3 linked regions of the Saccharomyces cerevisiae S288C genome follow. The protein of the gene in region 3 binds, or shares a complex with, the protein of the main gene of each other region. Each region holds a gene or a part of one and is shown on either strand. Other genes may lie near its edges. The genes, in order: SNU13, HIT1 and RSA1. A codon is read from its position in the direction of its gene.

What was found.
Region 1: the proteins of RSA1 (region 3) and SNU13 are in contact, whole or in part, in a crystal structure (PDB 4NUT), measured with the Saccharomyces cerevisiae proteins. Residues at the interface, in NP_015131.1 of Saccharomyces cerevisiae: Val242 (codon at 934), Trp245 (codon at 925), Arg246 (codon at 922), Arg249 (codon at 913), Lys250 (codon at 910), Met252 (codon at 904), Trp253 (codon at 901), Leu254 (codon at 898), Lys256 (codon at 892), Ile257 (codon at 889), Ser258 (codon at 886), Asn259 (codon at 883), Asn260 (codon at 880), Lys261 (codon at 877), His264 (codon at 868); in NP_010888.1 of Saccharomyces cerevisiae: Pro6 (codon at 4,660), Lys7 (codon at 4,657), Phe9 (codon at 4,651), Pro10 (codon at 4,648), Leu65 (codon at 4,483), Pro68 (codon at 4,474), Leu69 (codon at 4,471), Cys71 (codon at 4,465), Glu72 (codon at 4,462), Asp73 (codon at 4,459), Asn75 (codon at 4,453), Val76 (codon at 4,450), Pro77 (codon at 4,447), Tyr78 (codon at 4,444), Tyr115 (codon at 4,333), Lys118 (codon at 4,324), Asp119 (codon at 4,321), Ile121 (codon at 4,315), Glu122 (codon at 4,312), Leu125 (codon at 4,303).
Region 2: the proteins of RSA1 (region 3) and HIT1 are in contact, whole or in part, in an NMR structure (PDB 2MJF), measured with the Saccharomyces cerevisiae proteins. Residues at the interface, in NP_015131.1 of Saccharomyces cerevisiae: Glu320 (codon at 700), Asn321 (codon at 697), Ser322 (codon at 694), Gln323 (codon at 691), Leu324 (codon at 688), Leu325 (codon at 685), Asp326 (codon at 682), Phe327 (codon at 679), Ile328 (codon at 676), Arg329 (codon at 673), Glu330 (codon at 670), Leu331 (codon at 667), Gly332 (codon at 664), Asp333 (codon at 661), Val334 (codon at 658), Gly335 (codon at 655), Leu336 (codon at 652), Leu337 (codon at 649), Glu338 (codon at 646), Tyr339 (codon at 643), Glu340 (codon at 640), Leu341 (codon at 637), Glu345 (codon at 625), Leu349 (codon at 613), Phe350 (codon at 610); in NP_012589.1 of Saccharomyces cerevisiae: Asn71 (codon at 2,911), Lys72 (codon at 2,908), Thr73 (codon at 2,905), Leu74 (codon at 2,902), Lys75 (codon at 2,899), Thr76 (codon at 2,896), Phe79 (codon at 2,887), Tyr83 (codon at 2,875), Leu89 (codon at 2,857), Leu93 (codon at 2,845), Asn96 (codon at 2,836), Thr97 (codon at 2,833), Lys99 (codon at 2,827), Phe100 (codon at 2,824), His101 (codon at 2,821), Leu102 (codon at 2,818), Ala103 (codon at 2,815), Val105 (codon at 2,809), Tyr106 (codon at 2,806), Leu109 (codon at 2,797), Asp124 (codon at 2,752), Lys127 (codon at 2,743), Glu128 (codon at 2,740), Ala130 (codon at 2,734), Val131 (codon at 2,731), Leu134 (codon at 2,722), Asn135 (codon at 2,719), Arg138 (codon at 2,710), Phe151 (codon at 2,671), Cys152 (codon at 2,668).

What each region holds. Positions count from the first base shown.
Region 1 is NC_001137.3:98,339-106,617, reverse strand, and holds SNU13 (RNA binding protein SNU13), read right to left. Parts: upstream 4,676-8,279; coding exon 4,295-4,675; downstream 1-4,294. Other genes in the region: YEL025C (uncharacterized protein), read left to right, coding at 471-4,037; VMA3 (H(+)-transporting V0 sector ATPase subunit c), read right to left, coding at 5,367-5,849; YEL028W (uncharacterized protein), read right to left, coding at 7,489-7,950. UniProt on the Saccharomyces cerevisiae protein: Common component of the spliceosome and rRNA processing machinery. In association with the spliceosomal U4/U6.U5 tri-snRNP particle, required for splicing of pre-mRNA.
Region 2 is NC_001142.9:533,424-541,892, reverse strand, and holds HIT1 (Hit1p), read right to left. Parts: upstream 3,122-8,469; coding exon 2,627-3,121; downstream 1-2,626. Other genes in the region: YJR056C (uncharacterized protein), read left to right, coding at 1-101; KCH1 (Kch1p), read right to left, coding at 4,344-5,837; BFA1 (Bfa1p), read right to left, coding at 6,142-7,866; UV-damaged DNA-binding protein RAD7, read right to left, coding at 8,134-8,469.
Region 3 is NC_001148.4:176,642-183,059, reverse strand, and holds RSA1 (Rsa1p), read right to left. Parts: upstream 1,658-6,418; coding exon 512-1,657; downstream 1-511. Other genes in the region: pheromone-regulated protein PRM3, read left to right, coding at 4-405; DDC1 (Ddc1p), read right to left, coding at 1,945-3,783; APL5 (Apl5p), read right to left, coding at 4,039-6,418. UniProt on the Saccharomyces cerevisiae protein: Involved in a late nucleoplasmic step of 60S ribosomal subunit assembly.

The sequences.
Region 1 (8,279 bases), on a different chromosome or scaffold from region 3:
GACAATGGTATTTAATATACCAGGCGGTTAAAGAAAGGGTAGGTATTTTTTTCTACCTAGTTCAGTTTATATGGATGAGACAGGGATAGACGGGCATGTACGGAGTTTTTCGACTTGATCAGTGCAATCCACTGATTATCGTTTTATGTAGGTATTTTCTTGAGTTACAAAATTTTAGGGAAAGTATGGATACAACCAGAGAGCCGATGTGGTGTTTTTTTTGGTTTTTAGTACATGCAGTACGCTTCTTTTTCTATTTCCTGTATACTTCCTTTAAGCGTATTCGTCGTTATAGGTTCTATTTGCTTTCAACTGAACGCGCTTGCCTGAACGCCTAAAGCGGAAAGAAATACATGACTGAAAAACAGACATTCTGGTCGCAACTCAGCGAAAGGGAGGGTAGAAAAATATATTGTGTTATAATGTCAGCGTTAGCGCATTGCATATTGCACTAGCCATTGCCACGTAAAATGGCAAGACAAGATGAAACGGACTGCAAAAAATTGGATAGCAATTCGGCCTTTTTACCTTTATGCATAACATCTTATAGATCAAAAGATGAGGCTGAGAAGCTGGTAAGTTGTCTTCATCACGAAGGAAGTTACTTTTTATGTTTTAGCTATGGATTGTATACCGGAACGTCCAACGAATTGAAAGCGAAGGTTGAGTTCGCTTTAGATGGACCGTTCGTTGTTAACTACGCAACTGTACCGATGTTCATGTCAGCTTCCTTCTGTCACCTGCTAATGTTTAACGACGGTTCCATTAAGGGATTCAAATGCGAAAATAACAAATTTGAAATTATCTACGACTCTAATGTGGCTCCGAAACTGGATACTATTTCTTTATTAACTTCCAGCTGGTTAAATGCTTCCTTTGAGGGTGTTTTATACACTTGCAATAAAAACATATCATATGATAGTGATTTGCATACGTTATGTACGACAATTTACTCCTTTGACTTCAGAGAAGGAATAGTCGAAAGATTTTATGCCACCGATGGCGAAGAAATTATCTCCTTTGATTTTATTAGCAGGGAGGATTTGCTTGACGACGCCACATGCACAGGTAAATCACACGTTTATTTTCTTTGCCTACTTAAGAGTTGCTATAGTGAAAACCTGTTTTTAAAGGAATACAATCTTGCTGGAAAGCATGGAAGTAGGAAATTTGATTTAAACGAGTACCGCCAATACAATCTTTTGCCGATATGTGATAATGAATTTTGTTATATGAAGGTAGTTTGCGGCCATACCATTGTAGTGTTGACTACTAACTACACTCAAATAATAAATATAAAAGCAAGTGGGCTTACAAACGGGGCTTTTTTCAATAATAAAGGTCTCCCAAATGTAGAAAACTACCAATTTCTAAAAGATTCTTATGATGTGATATATGAAAGATCAGTCATTCTCTTGACAATTTCTGACGTGTATGCTAACAAATACACTGCCAAGATACACACTAGGTCGTTACATAGAGACCACGTCCTGAAAGAACTACAATGGACAAAAGAAAGAGTGTTCAAGCCTCCTAAACATGATCTATGCGATGTTATTTTGCAGCTCCCACGTGAAAAGTATATAGCGGTGACAAGAATAAATGGAGTAAATTTTATATCGAAAGATCATCGAGGTTCAAAATTAGAAAAGGTGAAAAGCGGTCCCGCTTATACAAACAAAGTTTACCTGGCATCACAAGTTATTGGAAACAAGGGGACAGATATTGATTCACTGCTTTTGGGTGGAAGTTTTAACTCAAGAAGAGGATTTTTAGAAAAGAAAATTTTGGTATATGACAAAACCCTGTTCAAGTTAGTGACTTCCTCCAAAGCGCTAGTAGAGAATGTAACTGATTTTTGGGTTACAGATTTAGCACTTAATGGTGGTGACGAATTTGCATATGAATCAGGTGGGTTGATTTATAAGAACGGAATATTTTTAATGGATGAGCCTTATGATTACGGTCTATTTGTTTCTAGGACGGGAAAAGTTTTGAAAGCCGGTATGGATGGTTCTACCGGAGAATTTAGGCAGGTCGATTTCTTGCAGTCGAACCACAACTCTTCCACCATGTTTTGTTATCCCGTACAGAACTCCAAGCTCAGGATTTCGATACTTGAGGCAAAATCTGGTTTTCTACGTAAAAAAGAAGAATTTTTTATCCATGGGCTCAATTCTAAAGAGAGTATTGTGAGCTGTTTCTCAGATGGTGCCGAGAAATACCTTTTTGTCATTTACTTGGACGGTGTGTTTTCGGTATGGAATGCCAATCAAAAGAAAGTGGCTACATCACATCCAGACTATTCTTTCATAGCCTATGATCAATTGATAAAAATATCTTGGCTAAGCAAAAAGCATAAACACGACTCGATTTATGTCATCGCATCATCATACACTGGCTGCGTAAGAGTCTACAAATCAGAATCAAATTTTTTGAGAGTGGATTTAGAGATTCATTCGTTATACGATCAGAAATTAGAACTGTTGGATACGATTCCTTCCTTACCTTTGGTTTTCCTTTACAACGATAAGGAAATAATTTTGTTAAATCTTCAAAACATGTCTTATGGTTGCATACAGTTAGGCTTAGTTCCAAGACGAATGAGAATTCGACCCGGTAAAGCACTGTTCTCTCTTTGTGTTTTAGATTATGATTCTCGAATAAGCATCTTTGAGTTTGGTAGCACGTTTTACCGTGAAGGTTTCACTAAGCAGATGACTTCATTAAAACCTCAATTAGAAAATCATATCTTTTACCTCCCTAGCATTCCCGTAGAGCTCTATACTGTTCCAAATAACCTCAATCAGGCCGTGGTGTGTTTGGTCGATAGCAATAGTAGGCAGTATAAGTTGATGCTATTCAATTATGCTTCAATGAAGGCAGTTTCCACATTCAGTTTCTCGGATGAAAAGTATTTACATGCCGTTGTGAAGCCACTGTGGCCAGAACAAAACTCAATCTACTTATCACAGAGACCCTTTTATGGTAATAAGTTTGTTGTATGCTTAGGAGTTGGTGAAAAACGTACAAAATTCTGGCTGTTTGAAATTAGAAACAATAACATTACCCAATTGTACGCGAATTATCTCGAAGATTGTATATTCTCGGTGTTCATATACTATGAGTGCAACTTGGTTTTATTTTCTGGTGATAGTGGCATAGCAGCATATAAAATAAACATGCTAAAAGAGGGCGCGGAAATTTTAGAGGCCTATTCCTTCCCAGCACTTTCATCGATTAACCATATAGGTCTTCCAGCTTATATGAGTGGTGATTATCTGGTTCAATTTGAGATCTTGAGAGATTTTTTGAGAACCCGCTTTCCAATTAGGACGTCCATAGTATATCCATCAGAGTACCCTGAATGTCCCTACTTGGGTTTTAAGCGGTTGGGAAGCATTACACAAGTGGCGACTAAAATAATTCCTAAGAAGCTAAGAGAACCTAAAAACGATTGTTTAGCGAGTGATAAGAACTATCTATTAGGTCGATTATCAGACCTTTCTTGTGCAACGTTGAAATATTCCAATAGATCTTATGTTGCCACCATTGGTATTGATAATACCTTGACAATATACGAAGATTCTAAATTATCAGTTGATAAGGGCGGGTTGGCTATGCCATACCTCAAAATTCGGTTACCTAATAAGATAATCTCACTGGCGGCCATCCCAGATGGATTTCAAAACCTTCAAATATGTCCAAATTTCAATAGTCAAAGGTTGGAAGGCGTCATACCTCTATTTTTACTTTGCGGTACTGAGGGCCAAATTTATATAATATCGGAATTCATTGGTGAGCTGTGGATGAGAACGTTGCATGATTACAAAAAGATCAAGCTCGAATGTAAAAGAGCTTTTCGAAGGTCTGAGAAAAGCATGCGAAATGTTACTAAACAATATTCCGTGAGTAAAGAGACTGGAATAAATGAAAGCGGCTTTGATGAGCTAGCTAGAAATTCAAAGAGAAGACATATAGATCATTCACCATACAAGACCATAGATTTTTTCGATCCTGTAAAACTAAAAAGGTGACAATAAATCTCCTACGAACGAATAGGTGCCATGAGATCTTGCACCTTTTTGTTATGCCTAAATTACTACAGCTCAATTGATAATACATGTTTGTGCATTTACAGATGCACTCGAGTAGGTTATTCAATGAAGATATGACATATATCATACCACTAACAAAACAGCACTATTAGCGTCTGCACTAGTGGAAAGCAAAAAACTTTTTTATAGTATATAGATGGTACAAAAACTATGTTGATAGATATAATCCAATCTACTTAAATTAATAAAGTTTCAATCTTGTCCTTGACAGCGTAGATTTGGGTCTTGATAGCAGAAGCATCGTTGGTGGTAATAGAAGCAGCAATAACTGGTCTAGAAACACCACAAGCTCTACCTAAAGCAACTCTAGATGGAACAAAGACATATGGAACATTCTTGTCTTCACATAGTAATGGTAAATGCAATAGGATTTCAATAGGTTCACAGTCAGCAGCCATAATGATGAATTCGGAGATACCACGGTTCAAAGTTTTGGTAGCTTCGTTGGCACCTTTCTTCAATTGTCTCAAGTTAGCAGCCTGTTGAACGACATCCAAGATTTGTTGGGTTAATGCAGCATCGGCTAATGGGAAAGCCTTTGGGTTTGGGGCAGACATTTTTAATATAGTTTTTATAGTATGAAATCTGGTTTATTCAAGTTCCTTGCAATAATCAGTATGGTCCTGGTATAGAAAGCTCGCTCGAATGATGATTTAAATTAAGATTTGAAAGTAGGACTTGAACACTAAGAGGAATAAGCACTATTAACCAGAATAATCAGTTTTAAAGTGAAAAATTTTCTAACTCATCTCATTCCAGCATTAGAAAAAAAAATTTTCTGAGAAAAAGGAAAAATGAAAAGAAAAAGAAAATAGAAATGAAAAATTTTTCTATATGCTGAATTTATTACCCGGATAAAACCGATAAGAAAAAGAAACGATACAATTGTCTACTTTAACAATAGAAGTTGATAAGGTTGGGCCTCTTTTAAGAGTACAGGTATAGTGATCTCATCGTACCCATTGTGTAGCTTAAAACGCATAATGCTCTTTGTTGCTCCTTGATATTCAAATTTTCTATTTTATACACATTAAAAATTAAGATATACATATTTAGCGTGTAATACTCTTTTAAACAATAATAATGGTACTAATAAAAAGGAAGCTTGAAATGAGGTAGTTTGGATATGAAGTAAGAATAGGGGCTATAAACAATCTCTAAGATGAAAAATTTTGATAGTTTTCATAGTTTCTCACAAAAAGATTCTTTTGTATACTCTATTCCTGCTTTAGTGATTCAGAAGCTGCCTTAACAGACAACATCTTGAGTAGCCCTGGAGTTCAACAACAAAGCAACAATCAAACCGTATAGACCCAAAACTTCAGCAAAAATCAAAATCAAAATCATACCGACGAATAATCTTGGTTGTTGAGAGGAACCTCTAACACCTGCATCACCGACAATACCAATAGCGAAACCAGCAGCTAGACCACTCAAACCGACTGATAGACCGGCACCCAATTGGATGAAACCGGTGTACAAAGCTTGCTTTTGACCCAACGAATAACAAACCAAAACGGAAACAACTAAACCGTAAATGGCAATGATACCAGCCATAATAACAGGAACAATGTTCTTGAATAATAGGTCTGGTCTCAACACACAAGTGGCACAGATACCAACACCAGACTTAGCAGTACCGTAAGCAGCACCTAATGAGGTGAAGATAATTGCAGAGGCACAACCAATGGCACCAAAGAAAGGGGCGTAGACAGGACACAATTCAGTCATTATATGTATATGTTTCTTTTGTTATTCTAATTGATTAGTCTTTTTGAGAAAAGCAATAAACACGATCTTCTCTTTCTTTTAAAAAGATTTTTATAAACAAGTTTTTAATCAGAACGAGTGTATAATTGTACAAAACTATCAAGGGTCAGTCAATCACTTAACCACTTTTTCTGTTTTTTTTTTTTTTTTTTTTTTAATGCGTTTCTTTTCCGGGTAATATCCCTTTATACGATTCAAATTTTTAGCAATGGAATAGGCCGTAGACGGCCGTAGACGGCCTATTTCATTGCTGATAAAGAATTCAGTTCCTCTATCTTTCCTAAGTTGAATATTGTGCAATAATAAATTCATTATTAAAGAAGATGTACAATTAATAATAAATAATTGCTGGGTGAATTTGTAAAAAAAGAAAACTGTAATATAGAATATATAAAATAAGTTGATAGAAATACCTAACTAAAACAATAACAATTATTAATAATAACGCAGAAGTTAAAGCTTATAGTCTATAGCTTAAATGATTGCGATCTGTGTTATTGTTGCGGGCAAAAAGAAATGAAAAATTAGCGCCGCTCGGTTTCGATCCGAGGACATCAGGGTTATGAGCCCTGCGCGCTTCCACTGCGCCACGGCGCTTAGCCAACTTGAAAGAACTGGATGTTAACTTTATTTATTAACACAATAACAAATTCTTCTATCTCTATCTCTCCATGTCGCTTATATTGAGGTCCGCCAACATATCACTTAATCTGTTACTTGTAGTGGCATGTTTATAATTACTATTTCTTAGCTCATTTCAGGTATTTTGCGGTTAATTATAAAAGTAACCGCATGTGTTCCACAGTTGTTGTCAGTTGATACTATTTTAGGTGGTTTATGCTGTTTCAACCACGACAACTTCATCCTCTCACTGGACATTTTTGAACACTAATTGAAGTTTCCAATACCACTCGTCTTTTAGGCAAAGGTATTTTTCAAATATAGTTATGAAGGCGTATATGATGGCATTTGGCTCATTTGGGCAGTACGACATTTGTTCATTTCCGGTAGAATCAATACCTACGTGTTAGTTTACCTTCCGATGGTGATTTCTCCCATGGATATTGCAGGAGTAACAGTCGGTTATGATTCACTAACTAACAGTTATATTTTGCTGGGATATTATTATATACGGCGTTAGAAGACATGAAATGATGAGAAGCAGTCATTAAATTTAGTGGAAGCCGAAATGTAAGGATTGATAACGCAGTAGGATAATGAACAATAAAACATAAAATGAAAGGAGAAGTGACGCTTTTAGAGCAGTAAATTATAACGTAGAGGACGAAGAAATGTGTGCATGGTTATGTAGATTGTTGATTCTCTTTTGCGAACTCCTGTGACCTAGTGGAGAATTTTAGCAACTCTGTAGGCCTAATAATGTTGTCTTCAATCAAAATGGGACTTGACAATTACTCCAATATCCATCTAACCTATATCGTTATCCTGTCATCATCTATGATATCGCTAGACGTTAGTAGTAAATTGCTTTCTTTACTGCGCATCGTCGAGATATTTGCACCATTCATGCATACATCTTTGTGTATAAAAGATGTTAATCAGAATTATCATACATGTACATAACGTAATACCTGAGTACTTACTGAAACTCGACAATTGGATGTTGGAAGGCATTGAGTTCTTGCGTTGTTAGCCGTTTGTTGTTCCTAAAGTGAGGTAAGTCCGTATGGTTGACGGTGGCATCGCCAAGTTTTGCCATATAACTAATCCCGCTAGGAAAATAGTCGTATTTGTAATGAGTGAAGTAGAAACTATGCCCGTAGTTACGATAACAGTATGACACTGTCTTCGTCATAGCGGTAGTGTTAGCTTCCGTACGATTGCTAAATATGATAAAAGTTCCAACAGTATCTGTAGCCGCTATTTTGTTGCTTGGAAAACCAAGCACTTGTAAGTACTTTAACACATTACGAGCATCAGTTAGAGTGGTGTTATCACGTAATGAGGGCAAATTTGCACCATTATGAAGTAGTGTGCCCGCACTTGCGAGCTCGACGATCATGACAAGAAAAAATAGAAGGCTTGTTATTGTTATTTTCATTTTTTATTTGGATCTGATATAACTACGATGCAATTTGACAGTGAAGAAAAGTTATGCTTCATCCAATCCTAAGCGCGATAGTGGGAATGCACCCTTTAACATGGCCTTATTAAGTTGTCTAAAATCTATGCATTGGCGGTAACTACCAATCATATTTTTCATCATATAGATAATTGGTAGATGTTGGGTTGACCTGGCCCATATTACATAGATATGAAGAAGCAAGCTCGCAAAACAGACAATTAAGTATCTATATCACATGTATTCATTGTAAGGAAAAAAGTGAAAAAAAGATGAGGGTAGAGAAAATGAAAATAAGCCTCTTGTGA
Region 2 (8,469 bases), on a different chromosome or scaffold from region 3:
GTGAGCGTGATCGTGAAAATACACATTATGAAAAAAAACCGAAATTGGATTCTGATTCAGAAGTAGACATAAGGAGTTTCCGCCAGGATATGGACCTGTAAGAACACCCGGGAAGAGGTTCTCAAGTTAGAAGGAGCCCATTGCATTGTAGGTATAATATCGAAAATATTTAAATATTGTTTTTGAATCTCATATATACATACGTTTCAGAAAGCACATAGAAATAAACTTTCAGTGAGCCAGATGGTGTCTGATAACTTACGATATATGCAAAAAGTATGTTATATGTAACCGCAACAGTAGCCAAAAAAATCTCCGCGACGGGGAATTGAACCCCGATCTGGCACGCGACAAGCGCCCATTCTGACCATTAAACTATCACGGATTTTCTTTCTGTACAAATCTGGATTTTCTGTTATTATATAACAAATCAAAAAAAAGTTCCGAGTAATTAATGTTGAGATATGTTGGAATAAAAATCAACTATCATCTACTAACTAGTATTTACGTTACTAGTATATTATCATATACGGTGTTAGAAGATGACGCAAATGATGAGAAATAGTCATCTAAATTAGTGGAAGCTGAAACGCAAGGATTGATAATGTAATAGGATCAATGAATATTAACATATAAAATGATGATAATAATATTTATAGAATTGTGTAGAATTGCAGATTCCCTTTTATGGATTCCTAAATCCTGGAGGAGAACTTCTAGTACTTTCTACATACCTAATATTATAGCCTTAATCACAATGGAATCCCAACAATTACATCAAAATCCACATTCTCTTTAAGATACTGGTGAATTTTGAGATAATTGGTGGGATTCTATTGTTGGTAAAGGCTATAATATCAGGTATACAGAATATACTAGAAGTTCTCCTCGAGGATATAGGAATCCTCAAAATGGAATCTTTATCTCTATATACTAATATTACGATTATTCCTCATTCCGTTTTATATGTTTCATTATCCTATTACATTATCAATCCTTGCATTTCAGCTTCCTCTAACTTCGATGACAGTTCCTCGTATCTTATGTCATCGTCTAACACCGTATATGATAATATATTGGTAGTGTCCCTATTAGTTGCCAGCCGATAGTTGATTTTTATTCCAACACAAGCATAACTTTTACTATTGTTTCTCTACGTTAAGCAGGAGTAGATAACTCCCCCTACTGCGGTAAGAGCAATACTGATTTACGCTTGGTTTATTTAATTCAAAAATCTGTCCCTTTTTTGTGTATATGTTATTAGATATTACTAAATGTAAAAATTTACGCTGCAATGATACATAATGCCATGCGAAGTTGTGAAAAAATAAACACGTATTGCTCTGAAAAAACTAACTAAATATGTTGATATTAAGTTTATAGTAGGCGAAAAAGAAGTCATAAGAGAGGAACAGATCTCTAAGCATACCAAAAATTACTTCCAGTTAGGAGAGCGTGGTGTTCTCATCCTACTAAAAAGATGTTTCGTGATTCTCCTAGTAGCTTCACATTACTATAATGAAAGCCGAGAAAACAGAAATACCTGCAGCCAGTGTTCGAAAATCGCAATTGACGCTAGCTCTACAGCGCATTTTACCCTAGAATGATCTGTCTCATTTCCAATATCTTCAGCGGCAAGCCGTTACCTATTTTCGTTCATCGATGCTACCAGCAGAACATCGGTATGTCAACTATTACCCAATACATTCCTTCATAATGGCGGACTTGATAAAGAAGAAAATTAAATGCCCAGACTTCTTTGGAGTACTGTGACGAATGATATCGCTTGTAGAAAGTAAGTCAGTAAAGCTATCCAGTCCGAAAGCTGAGCTAAAAAGTCACGTATGTAGTGCTAATACGATAAAAATGAGTGGGAAGAAATATTTGGTATGAATGTGAAGTGGGCAAACTTGCACACTAAATCACTGCATAGTCTATTTCCCGCACTTGACAAATTATAATGATATTTGCATATATTTTATTTATTGAAATTAATATCAAAAATTTCATCCACAACAACAAGTTGCGAGGTAGTTAGCGAAAAACTGAGGATAAAGTGTACCAAATGTTGCTCCAAATCATCCTCTCCTTCAAAATACCTTTTTAGGAGTGGCGCGGGTTTCTCTTACAATATCGAGGTTCGATTTCCCTAAAAGAAAGAATCTACTGATAATATAGAGGTTCTTATGGGGCAGTAGATGACTTCAAATTAAATAATGGGACCTGATTTGTTGCCTTGTTATACTTATTGCTATATATATGTATATATGTACAGTCGCCAAGTTGGACTTCAAGTTAAAAAGAAGACCAAAACGGCCATGAAGATCATAAGATGATGGTGGAACTTTCCCTAATCATATGTAAATACATGGTTCACTTTTATTATAAGGTGTCACAAACTTGCAATAGAAGCGCCTCACACAAAAATTCTGACATAATATCATTATTTTCCAAGTCTGCTTGACGCCTTGCCAGACAAGTGGGAAATCCTTAACGAGAAGAAAAAACCTAAAAGCAACCCGACCCTTTCAACAAGTACTTTGTTATTAGTCCTCACCTTCACTATTATATGGTTAAAAATGAATAAAATGCTCAATCTTAAAAATCATGCTAACAACGATAATTCTTATTTCTTCACCGCATTTAATTTATCTAATAAAATCTGGCAAAATTCCTCAATTGCTTCATTATAATGTATACCACCATATCGTAATGTATTCAAATAATTTACAGCTAGTTCTTTTTGTAGATCGCTGTTCATTTTTCCAGAACTTCCATCGTTAACAGTACTGGACAAAATTCTATAAACCTTTGCCAAATGGAACTTCACCGTGTTGTATTTCAACAGCTCTTGCAATTCTGCGCTATTTTGATATATATCATCGAATGCCTTCGTCTTTAATGTTTTATTCATTGCGAGTGAACTGTTTATGATCTTATCGTTATTAACAACTTCCACATTAGCTTCTGTACCAGCCCTGGGTTGTTCGCTTTCCTTATGAACATGCTTTGCAGCATCTTTATAGCATTTCAAGGAGCAATATCGTACGCCACATTTAGGACATTTATATTTACCATCAACTCCGCGACATATGCCACATTTAACTGCACTAGATACCATTTTTATTCTTAGAGTTTTTTATATAATATGAACCTTCAACTAGTTATTACCACTGTGGCACTCTTTCTGCGGTAAGATTATCTCATCGCAAGGTAATATCGTCTGAATTTTTTCTATAAAGAAACGAAAAAAAAAAAATAATCAACGTTCCGTACGGGACTCGAACCCGCAGTCTTCTCCTTAGGAGGGAGACGCGTTACCATTACGCCAACGGAACCAACTTGGTTGAACTCTAAGAAATATGAGGTACCTAAGTTGCATAGTAATATTATTACGAAGCACTTCAAATTGAATGAATAAACTTCGTGCAGAAAACTTACACGATGGAAATCAATATTGTAGAGAATGTGGATTTTGATGTAATTGTTGGGATTCCATTTTTAATAAGGCAATAATATTAGGTATGTAGATATACTAGAAGTTCTCCTCGAGGATTTAGGAATCCATAAAAGGGAATCTGCAATTCTACACAATTCTATAAATATTATTATCATCATTTTATATGTTAATATTCATTGATCCTATTACATTATCAATCCTTGCGTTTCAGCTTCCACTAATTTAGATGACTATTTCTCATCATTTGCGTCATCTTCTAACACCGTATATGATAATATACTAGTAACGTAAATACTAGTTAGTAGATGATAGTTGATTTTTATTCCAACAAATATCCGCCTCATTTTCTACTTTCGCTTAAGCTGCTGTAATGAACCCCTAAGGTAGTACTCATTTAGTAGTATTCATGTTACTAGTATATTATCACATACTGTGTATGAAGATGACATAATATTGAGAAACAAATATCAAATCTATTGGAAGCTGAAATGCAAGGATTGATAAAATAATAGGATAATATGACAAAATATCAAAGAAGGAATAAAAAAAAGATGTTATTATGTTGAACTAGTGACACCCTTTTGTGGATTCCTACATACCCAGAGAGAACTCCTAGTATATTCTGTATACCTAATATTAAGTCTTTACCAACAATGGAATCTCAGCAACTATAAAAAATTAACCTATCTCTTACAAGCAAATGTTAAAAGGGGTTTTCAAAGAAACTTTCATGGCTGTTATGTTTGTGCTATAACCGGTATCAATCCAATATATGAAAATAGTGTTACAAAAAAAGTATTATTTTTATCAGAAACATACTAACGGCTGTTTCTAATCACGTCTATCTAATTCATGAAATATGCAAAGGGCTTTTGCCAGCCTATTAAGTATAATTATATGTACGATCTTCATCTTCCAGCAAACCCTTCCTCGGAAGATCAGGCTCCCTGAAGTACGCTTTCATTGGTGTATAAATCCTTCCATTATCATTCGAGTCAGCTTTTGAATTAATCGAACTTTTTGTCTGTAAAGGAGGTGGTCTAGGTCTACTACTGTTGCTATTAAAATTACGGATGTTGTTTGTTGTATTTGGCATAGAATCTAATGGCCCGTGAAACTCCATAGAAGTTGTAGATTTTAATTGTCCAGCAGAGTGTATTTTGTTGAAAATGTCAGAAGAAGACAAATCCTCATATTTTGGAGTATTTACGCTTCTGCTTTGTATTTTTGCTTTCTTTATATCATTACTTTCATAGCTGTTGATATATGGTGAATCTAGAATCGCAGAGAATCTAGTGGTATATTGTGGATTGCCATTGTCAACGAACGATTCCATTGTTTCCGTTTTCTTCATTGTGGGAATGGGCCCACATACATCCTGACTTTTGTATTCGGGTCTTCTCTCTATTAGCTCAATCATAGAATCATTATTAGAAGCATATGACGTATCATTAAAAGATGTTTCAATTTTATTTTCAACTTCTTTAAAATCGTCAAAAGTCTGAGATTCGAGAAGACCTGTCTTATAAATCGTGTCATCATTTTCCTTTTTCCTTTGTCTTTCAACAAGTTCATCAACATTTTCGCTGACGGTAACACAAATGTACTCACGCAACCCGCTATATTCCTGATCATTGATTATTTTATAATAAACAAAAATCGAGCAAATGACAGCAAGCAGAAACTTGAAGACAAATAATGCCCAGATTATAAAGGAAAATAGCATCAGCGACAATATCACTGCTTCTTCATGATTGGTCTGGCCAATGTTCTTTATTTTGTTGATCAAACCGGTAAATGATTCCAGATCGCCTAGATCCTCGTTTTTATTTACTGTTACGAGAACTGACCACAGCGTAAGACCATTAATAACTTGCCTTGGGGTATCCGTGAAGATTAATCTAATACAATCTTTCAGTTGAAAAAAAGTAAAAAATGTCATTTTCTGTCGAAAACCCTTTCGTTCGATCATATTATAAACACAAAACTTGGAATAATTGAGCACTGAATTTAGGTTTCTGGAAAAATTGTTGACATAAGTCAAAGAGATATTTCCCGTTTTGTAAATCCTCATTCCCGCTATAGCCTCCCATATCAATAGCACAATCGATGCTAAAATACAACCGCTAAACAACCATTTGGATATTTTAAAGGGTAAGTATGGTTTGATGATGTTGTTTGACCAGGAGTTGAATGCCAGCAATTTGATACATGTGTAAATGTCAGAAACAAAAAGGGCGAGTTTTAATCCATTCCACCCAACTACACCTATTATGTAATTTAAAACAGTTTTGAACTTGTGGTTTCGAAATAATTCAATGTTTAAATCGGCGAAAGTCTTAGAATTAATGGAGTACTTCCAATCATGGTTAAACATTTTTGATTTTCTGTTCCTGCTAGTCAAATATTCATGAAATTACCAAAGTGTTTGCTAAACAAACCATAAAGATCTGTTTTAATAATCATCAAGGGCTCTTTTGTTTGAAATGTTAATGTGTCCCTCATGGTCTATTTTCATTTGAAACATCTATTCGAATTTTCTGCAACATTTCTTTTTCTGTCAGACGCGAAATGTCGGCGAAAAGTTGACACGATTCAAGGTTCTATCTAATTTTGGAATGTAAGAGAAATGAATGTACTCAAGATAACGGTAAAGAAACAGTTATAAGAAGGCTAAAGGGCTAATCTTTTGTCGAATTGATTACCATGTTCCTGATTTCATACATATAGGATTTTCTCTTGCTATTGACCGTACTTTCATCCATGATTGTTTCCTCATCAACACTGATAATGGTCTCATCTCGGGGTATAAACCATGAGGCTAACTTTTTACACCACCTGTTCTCCTCGTGGTAAAATTTTTCCAATGCTCTTGAACTCAAATGGAAAGTAGAGCTTATTTCTGGAGTTTCTGTTGTACCGTTAAGTGTCCTCATTGAATGGTATTTACGGAGTCTTGCTTGAGCAGCCGTACTTTGATAAACGCCATCATTGTCATTTGAAACAAATGGCGTATTAACTTGGCTTTTGGAACGCAAAAATGGTGAGGAGCTACGTTTTTTCATACTTTTGCCAACTGGTGGTAAGTTTATCTCAGGAATGCCTGCAAAAGGGTCTGCTTCTTCCTCTGAAACACTAACCCATCTTAAATTTTGTTCATCTAAAATCATGTTCCCGATGACCTTTTGATTTCTCGAAGTGGCTCTTGCATGCTGTAGATCAGAATATTTTTGCTTCTTAGAATCTGCATCTCGTTGTAGCTTGTTTTTTATCAATAAAGCTTTCCTGTTTGCCGTGTCTACATCACTAAATTTGCTTAAGACGTTTTCATTTCCTTCCCACTTCATAGTTTTCGGGTTATATATCATAGAACCTTTCTTCATTGGAGTATTATGATCAATTTGCTGTTTTATTGTTTTGATTTTAGCTGGACCATTGAGTTGTACATTTTGATTAGAACAGTGTCTTACTGATCGTTTTTCTTTAAAAGAGTCCAGTTCCTGCTGGGTATTCCAATCTCGTTGTCGCCTATGAAGACCTGGAGTTAATAATTCGTCATGCTTTACTATATCATATTGTGCAGGTGATATTTTTAATGGCAAAGATGAGGATGACTTCTTTAAGAAACGCGGATGGTCGGCACTTTCTTTATCGTTCGAAGAAATCGTTTCATCAATTGCTTCACCCTCTAATTCTTCAAATCCTGTCAGAAAGTCACCTTCATCATCTGAACTGAATTTCGCCAAAATTGTGTCCTGCGTATCGTTATCAATCTTGTAATTAAACTCTCGTTGATCTTCTCTTTCTCGTTCTTCGTCCTCTTCTTCTTCTCTGATAGCTGGATTAACTAAAGCTAAGTTAGGCATAGATTTCTTAAATCTTACAGAATTACCAGACCTTAAGTTTCTTGAAGTGACGCTATTTGATAGTTTTCTTTTTGGTTTCAATTCCATCATTGATCTAGGTTGCTTTAGCCTTGGTTTATCTTCCAAACTCAGTTTTCTATCAAACTCTTCTGCGAAAATGTCGTTTTTGAAAGGGCCAGTTCGACATCCATTTCTCAAATGAAAATTTGTTTTAATAGCATCGTCAAAATCATCCTTTTTATTTTGGAATTCCTGGAAGTCATTTAGAAATTCATCATCCTGGTCTACCTCCATGTCCTGATCATCGTCTGCTTGCTTATTAGACCAAAACGCGCTGGTACTATTGGAAAATACCGTGCCAGTGTCAGAAGTACCTACCGAGGATGGAGGCGGTATATAAGTTGATGTACTCAATGGTGGCACGTTTTCTTCCAAAGTTAATGTTTCATGGGATTGAAAGCGAGGTAGAGTTGTATTCAGTTCTTCAAAAGAGGTTTCTGGCTCATCTAAACCGTTTAACGTGAGAGGCCTAATTGACATAGCATACAAAACTTTCAACTGCTACAAAAGTTTTCGAACTTTTTTCTTTACGTCAAACTTCTCGTTTTTTTCCTTTTATCTGCGCTGAATACATAAGTTTACACTTTTTTTTTTACTATTATTGTTTGTTTATTATTCGCGAGATGCCATAAAATCCCTTCAATAGAAAATAAAGGCAACATTTGACGATCTGAGTATAATAGGAATAAAAACATTAGTCAATTTTCCGTTTTCTATCTAATACACGTTTTATATGTCTTTATTTTATTATATACTGTCACTCTGTCTCCCTATCAACGTAAGTCCAGGCCTCATTGTGGCCTTTTCAGTAACCAAATTGTCTCCGAAAACATCAATTACAGTTAAATTCGGATTTTGCTCACCCAACATTTGAATCACCGAGTCATCAACACAACGTACAAAACCAAGATCAAGATACGTCAGATTAGGACAGGCTAACGCCACAAATGCCTCCTTAGTTAGCTCTTTTAATGAATTGAGATTTAAGCTTCTCAGACTATCTCTTGCTCCGTTAAGCAATAGCTCTATAATTGCCATATCGCCCAATTGTAGACATCTTCTAAAGCTGCATTCAATCAAATT
Region 3 (6,418 bases):
AAAATGACAGCAATGAAAGAAGACAACGCTGCATTGATTACACTGAAGAAAAACAACGACCAAGAAAAACTTAGAGTGCATAAACTGACAGATGCAAGTTCAAACTCTGCTGATGGGTTCGTTATAAATAAAGCCAAAAACGGTGGACCGCTTAATAAAAAGTCATTAGTTAATAATGAACAACACATTAAGAAGGCTGTGTCGCCTGGTAGAGTCAGGAAGCACAAAACGACAACATCTTCCACAAAATCACGAACGAAAAGTAAGAAAAAAGACGCTTCTGAAAGTAAAGTACAGAGAGAGAATAAGGGTTCATTTTACCAAGGTGCCATTTTCGGTTCGTTCCTTGGTGCTGCTGTAACTACTGTTTTAAGTAACCTAGCAGTTAAAGCTCTTCAAAATTAGTTTCATATACTCATGATTTCTAAACAGTAATTAGTTTTATCTGACTTATTTTTTTTTACGCACCTTTGCATGTACTCTTCCATGTATATCAATATTTGCTATTCTATTACTTATTTCTAGTAAAGTTGGCTCTACTCAGATTAGGTTTCCTGTTTTTGTAATTTGGTTTGTAATGATTTTTATTATTATCTTCAGAGCTCCCAAAAAGTACATCTTTTTCTTGTTGAGATAGCTCATATTCAAGTAATCCTACATCTCCCAATTCTCTTATAAAGTCCAAAAGTTGGGAGTTTTCGTTTGCGAATTCTCGCTGTATCAATTTCAAGTTCAAGTCAATCTTCGGATTTCCTCTCTGCACTTGATTTTGAATACTCTGTATAAATTGCTTTTCTTTCCTTGACTCTTTGAAAATGCTAGGTTGGCTCTTCAGTTCATCTTCCTTTATGCCCATTTCTTGCATATGTTTCTGTTTGTTATTGGATATTTTCAGTAGCCACATTTTTTTTCTTTCTTCTCTCCACTTTTTAACATCTTCATCAGTAATCAATGCTATGGAGGTTCCAGGAACCAAAACCACCTTACCCAACCCCTCTGATTCTAACTGCTCATCACGATCATCATCTTCTAGCCCTAAGTTATTATGATCATCTTCGGCATTAGAATTTGCCAGCTCGGGATCCTTTCTTGGGATTTCTGTAGGCTCCGCAGATGCTTGATCCTTGCTTGATGGTACTGGACTTATTTCATTCATAAACGTATCTTTCCCTCTGTTTTTCTCAATCAATTGTATTTCCTTTACGGTCGGTATTGCAACATCTTCATAACTAATTGATGTTTGGTAATCTTTATCATTCTTTAAGGCTTGAGTGTTTTCACAATATGATGATGGCCACTTCTGTAAATTAAGCGCTGGTGCATAAGATATATTCTGATGAACTGGCGGTATGTAATTTTCTGTATAATTGGGAGGACTCGTATAATTGTACTGAGTGGACGGTTGTATTGGATGGAAATATTGATTATGAGGGGCTACATGATGAAGTTGAGGAGTATAACCGGTATTCCATGAACCTTCATAATACGGAGAGTTCGGATACATATGAGGTGAGTAAGCTGCATTAAAAGCAGAGTCTGTTTTTTGCCTTTTAATTTTCGATTCATCATAGCCATCTGATAGCGTTCCGGAGTATGTAGGTTTGGGAAGCCTAGAATGTCCATCACCCTTCGAATTTTCAAAGTTATTATAATTCATAGTCCATGTCGCAATAAGCTAATCAAAATGGAAAAAGAGATTGACTTATGAGTTAAATATAATAGCATCAATGAAATTTTTAAGTTCCTATTAAGTAAAAAGCTATGCAATATAGAGATATTATGCTATTGAAAATTTTAGTTTGTTCCCCGACCGTGATGGACCATCAGCCGCACGCTCACCAAATTGAGACAGAAAAAAAAAAAAAAACAGCGATCGATATTATCATGATAATTGCTACTTCATCTAATATTTACACGCCTTTATACTGATTTTGCATTATGGTTTTAGTCAAATATACCCCTTGGCTTTTCTACTTGTGTTAGACCCAGCCCATCTTCCATCTCTTTATTGTCCTGTTTCTTGTGATTACTTGTGTCATTCTGGGAATTCAACAGACCTTGCATATGCTTCAATTTTTCTTTCTTGAGCATTCCTTTTCTATCGATATTGCTGCATGAAACCTCATCATCTGCAGCTGGTAACGCTTTTCCCCATGTCACAGTGGTGTCTGCCCTTTTTGCAAATGTAGATTGTTGGGTGGGGTCTTCAGTTTCATTACAAATATCTGCTATGGATCTTTTTAAAGAATTGCTCTCATTACGTGGACAGGCCACTTCATGAGTCGTACCAATGTCAAAACTTTGTTCCCGATTCATGTTCATATGAACTGAACTAGCCTGCCGGAACCGCTTATCTTGTTCGTAATTCGTACTTTGGCTTTGTTCTTCCACGAATAATTTTCTTGCCGTGTTATTTCTATAGGTCTTAGCAACTGTGCTTCCATTATCAGGGGTCAGATACGACACTTTCAAAGGACTGTTTCGAGTTCCAGCCACAGAGTGTGGCAGGTTTTCTCTCTTTAAAGCAGTTTTGCTTTTTAATGGACTTTCGCAGCTTTCTTTGTTGTCTTTCAGTCCGGCCTCTTCTTTGGAGCCAGAGATTGCTGTTTTTATGAATTTTCCTTCTAAAATATCATCGTTAATGTTACTGTCAGTAACTTCAACCAATTCTAATTTTACGCCCGGTTTTTGCATTTGCATAAGAATAGGGTCCCCTGGGTGGCAAAACCATAAACTTATATTATCATTTCCGTCCTGGGTAGTCTTCCAGGATGGACCTATCGTTATGAAGTTTTTGAAGTCCTTCAATTTGAATATTATACTTTTCATATGCTCTCTACGCTTACTATGTGATCGCTTATCTTGTTTTTCATCTTCGATTGTTGTAAATAAGCAATAATGCTCAAGATCGAGCGTACTGATAGTGTTACTCATGCTTAACGCATTTCTTAAAAGGTCGTTATTTTTGCCGTAGACGGCCTTGGTGAATGCAGTTATGCTTAGCCTATGTACGTTAATTTCCAATTTTACTTCATCGGTTACATTAACATTGCAGTTGTCTAAAAAATTCTTCAATAAAGTTGAATTACAACAAATGTAATTAATCTCATCAGCAGCCGTTAACTGATTCCTTTTACGTATGTCTGATTCCACTTCTTCGTTAAATAAGGCTGATGTTAGCTCACGCTCTGTATTTGTAAAAACGTCCAATAGCTTAGGGTCCAAGGGCTCCTGTGGATTCCGATCGGAGGCAGCAGTTCCAAAAACATCCAAAAACCTCCTTTTGTACTTAAGGTTGATTATTATGGGATCGTATTTTATTGGCTGGAATTGGGGACAGTATTCTTTGACTATTAACGAATCCATTTCAATCACCACAATCAATCTATTTGCAAGTGATTCAGGACAGGTAGAAGTGTTGTTTACCGCAATTGTGAATGATTTGATGCCATCACCATCCGGCTTTCTTGATATAGTTGTTAGGTGTCTTCCATTAACACGGAAGGAGTATAACTTATGACTATTGCCGTACGTATCTTCTATAACTTGAACCCCATTTTCTCCAAATACAATCTCATGTGGTTTAAACTCATACTCCTCAAAAAAGCTTTTCTGAAACCTAACCTGACAAAGAGTAGTATCTGTCTCGTTCATTGACCAAGCAATTAACTCATTTGTTGTCACTGTAATCTTGATATCATCCTGAATTGTAGATAACACATATATCGCACGAAACCAGATATTCTGCTTCCCCGACTCGGTGATAGTTGCCTTAAATGACATATATGTCTAAGCAAAGTTATGCTGTGTTATTGTTACACTAGCAATAGTATGTCAAATAATTTTGCAAATCATCTCTGGTCTATGATTACCTTTGGCGGCCTTTGATTCATTCGCGTCATTATTAAATATGCCGTCTCTTTCGGCAAATTGAGTGCACCGCAATAATATACTATGCAGAATAAAATACTTAAATTAATTATAGTTTACGTACGTAATCGCTGTCATTGAGAATTCACGACTTCGATTTTTTTATCGTTAAATGTCAGTGCTTTGGTCTCGAAGAAATTCATTTGGTTCTGGAGAATTTTTTGCTTTCGTTTTTAGTTTGTTTTTTGACTTTGACTTTTTCCCTTTCTTCTTCTTTTTTATAACTATAACTTCTTCAGTATCACTTAAATTATCCTTTTCATCTTTTACAATAAGATTGGCCTCTAAACGACTTAATTCTAACTCGTCTTCCTTTCTAAGGTTGCCCTCTTCCTGCGATCCTCTTCCTGCGTTACTCGATTGCCCAAAATTGGAAAAATCAAAATTTTCAAGTTGAGAGTGCATTCTCAGATTAATCTTGTCCTTTTTCAAAGGATTTTGAGTTGAATGATTATCATGGGGTTTCTGGAATGCATCTTTCCTTTTGGGAGCGGCTTCGATAACAGGTTCATCGGATAAGACTTGAACCCTATTTTTCTTCTTTCCCTTCTTCTTCTTTCTGCTGATTTCAGTTGTAGATAAACTTAGAGAATTCAACGAATTATCGGTTCTATTTAATCTAATAGTTTCTGGCTTTTTATCACTACTTTCCTCCTCATTCAAGTCCAACAAATCTTTAGAGTTCTTAGTTCTTTCTTCGTCTTCTTCACCTAGATAATAAGGATTTGACATCCGTTCCTTTTCTCTCTCAATCTCAAATGGATTTTCAAAATCATCCAATTTTTCCTTTTCTTCATACGAAGTATCAGAATCATCAACGAATTTTAGTTCAACTTGCTCGTCCATTGAGATATCAGACATTAAATCACTGATGGCGTCACTTTTTTGTTCATCTAAGAGTTCATCAGCTGCCTCCTTTGTCAAAAATGGAGTTTCTAGATCAAGATTCTCATCTACTGCTAACTTCAATTGAGTCCCACGCGCAATTGGTGCGAGTTCATAGGCGTTAAAAAAACTAGGCAGGACTTCGCTCAGTAGCATTGGTAGACCTTCCGTATCCTCCTCTAAAGCCTCCAAACTTAGTCTTAAAAATTCTAAAACTTCTACGCTTCTTTCCTGGACTTCGAATGTACTCGAATAAGATAAATTTTCAAAAAATTCAATTAGCTCTTTTAACACCATTTTAATTTCAAAGCGTTTATCCTCCTGAAAGTTATTACACCAATTACTAAATACTTTAACAAGTGCTAAAATTAAAACTTCTTGTACACTATGAGAATAATAACTGATATTCTCAGTCATGATTTTTATTAAGTCGTTACCATTTTCAACTAGGGTAGAAAATTCTCCGAGACACCAAATGCATTCTCTCAATACGGTAGGCAACTGTTTGTTAATATTGTCATTTGAAATAAGCTTTATAATATTAGCAATGGTTACTTCTCTCATTGAAGGAACTTTTATCATCAAATTCCTAAACTGTTCACCAATTTTTGATCCAAGGCTTTTATCAGATATGTCTTGACAGAGCATCGCCAAGTCCATTATTACTGCATTGTACCATTCAAAGTCGTTAACACTGGAATAGTTGTCAGCTGAACAAATCGATATAATGACGTTCACCATTTTTATCTTGTAATTTTCTGGAATTATTATGGGAATTCTCTTTGATTTTTCGTATACGATGCTTCCAGTTTGTAGGATAACCACATCTTCATCTACAAATTGCTTCATCAATGTTTGGACAATTGCCTTTAAGTTATCCTCATCAACAATACCTTCAACCAATTCAATTGCTTTTGATCTTATAGAAACGTCGACATCGGAGAGTAAGCGTATAATCAGTTGGTCGAACCGAGAAATAAAATCAGTATTGATTTTGCCGATCTTGTAAAACAATATGCAGCTAATATATCTCAAATTTGGATCCTGAGAATCACAAAATGTGTGCAATCTTTCCAGGCATGCCATTGCTGTTTCAAAATCATCTTCTTCTAGCATATTCCCCTTGACAATACAGTTGACAGATTCATAGATCACAGAAGTTGCAACAGTACTCTCCATCAGTTCTAAAATTTTCGGCAATAACTTGGCTCTCAATTTCGGTTCCACTTGTGATAAGTTGGTGAATAACTTCAATAATCTAATGATTATCCAGTTATTGTCAATGGTAACTAATATCTCGTATAATAAAGGTGAAAGCTGGATGAATGGTTGGGGGTTTTTTTTTGATAGCTCGCAAATAACACTGACAGCGGCAGAAACCACAGATATATCATCATCGTCTAGCTTTGAAACAAACTTATCAAAATTATCTCTCAAAGCCTCTGGATATTGCAGAAAAACTTTAAATAGTGCGGTAATGGCCTTCTTTCTTATGTACGGTCTTGTGCTGTTTAGCATAGTGAACAAATCATCAGCTATATCTCTTGCTAATGAGGGTGTAATTATAGTGGAAAGACCACTTAAAGCAATGCCAACTTTAACA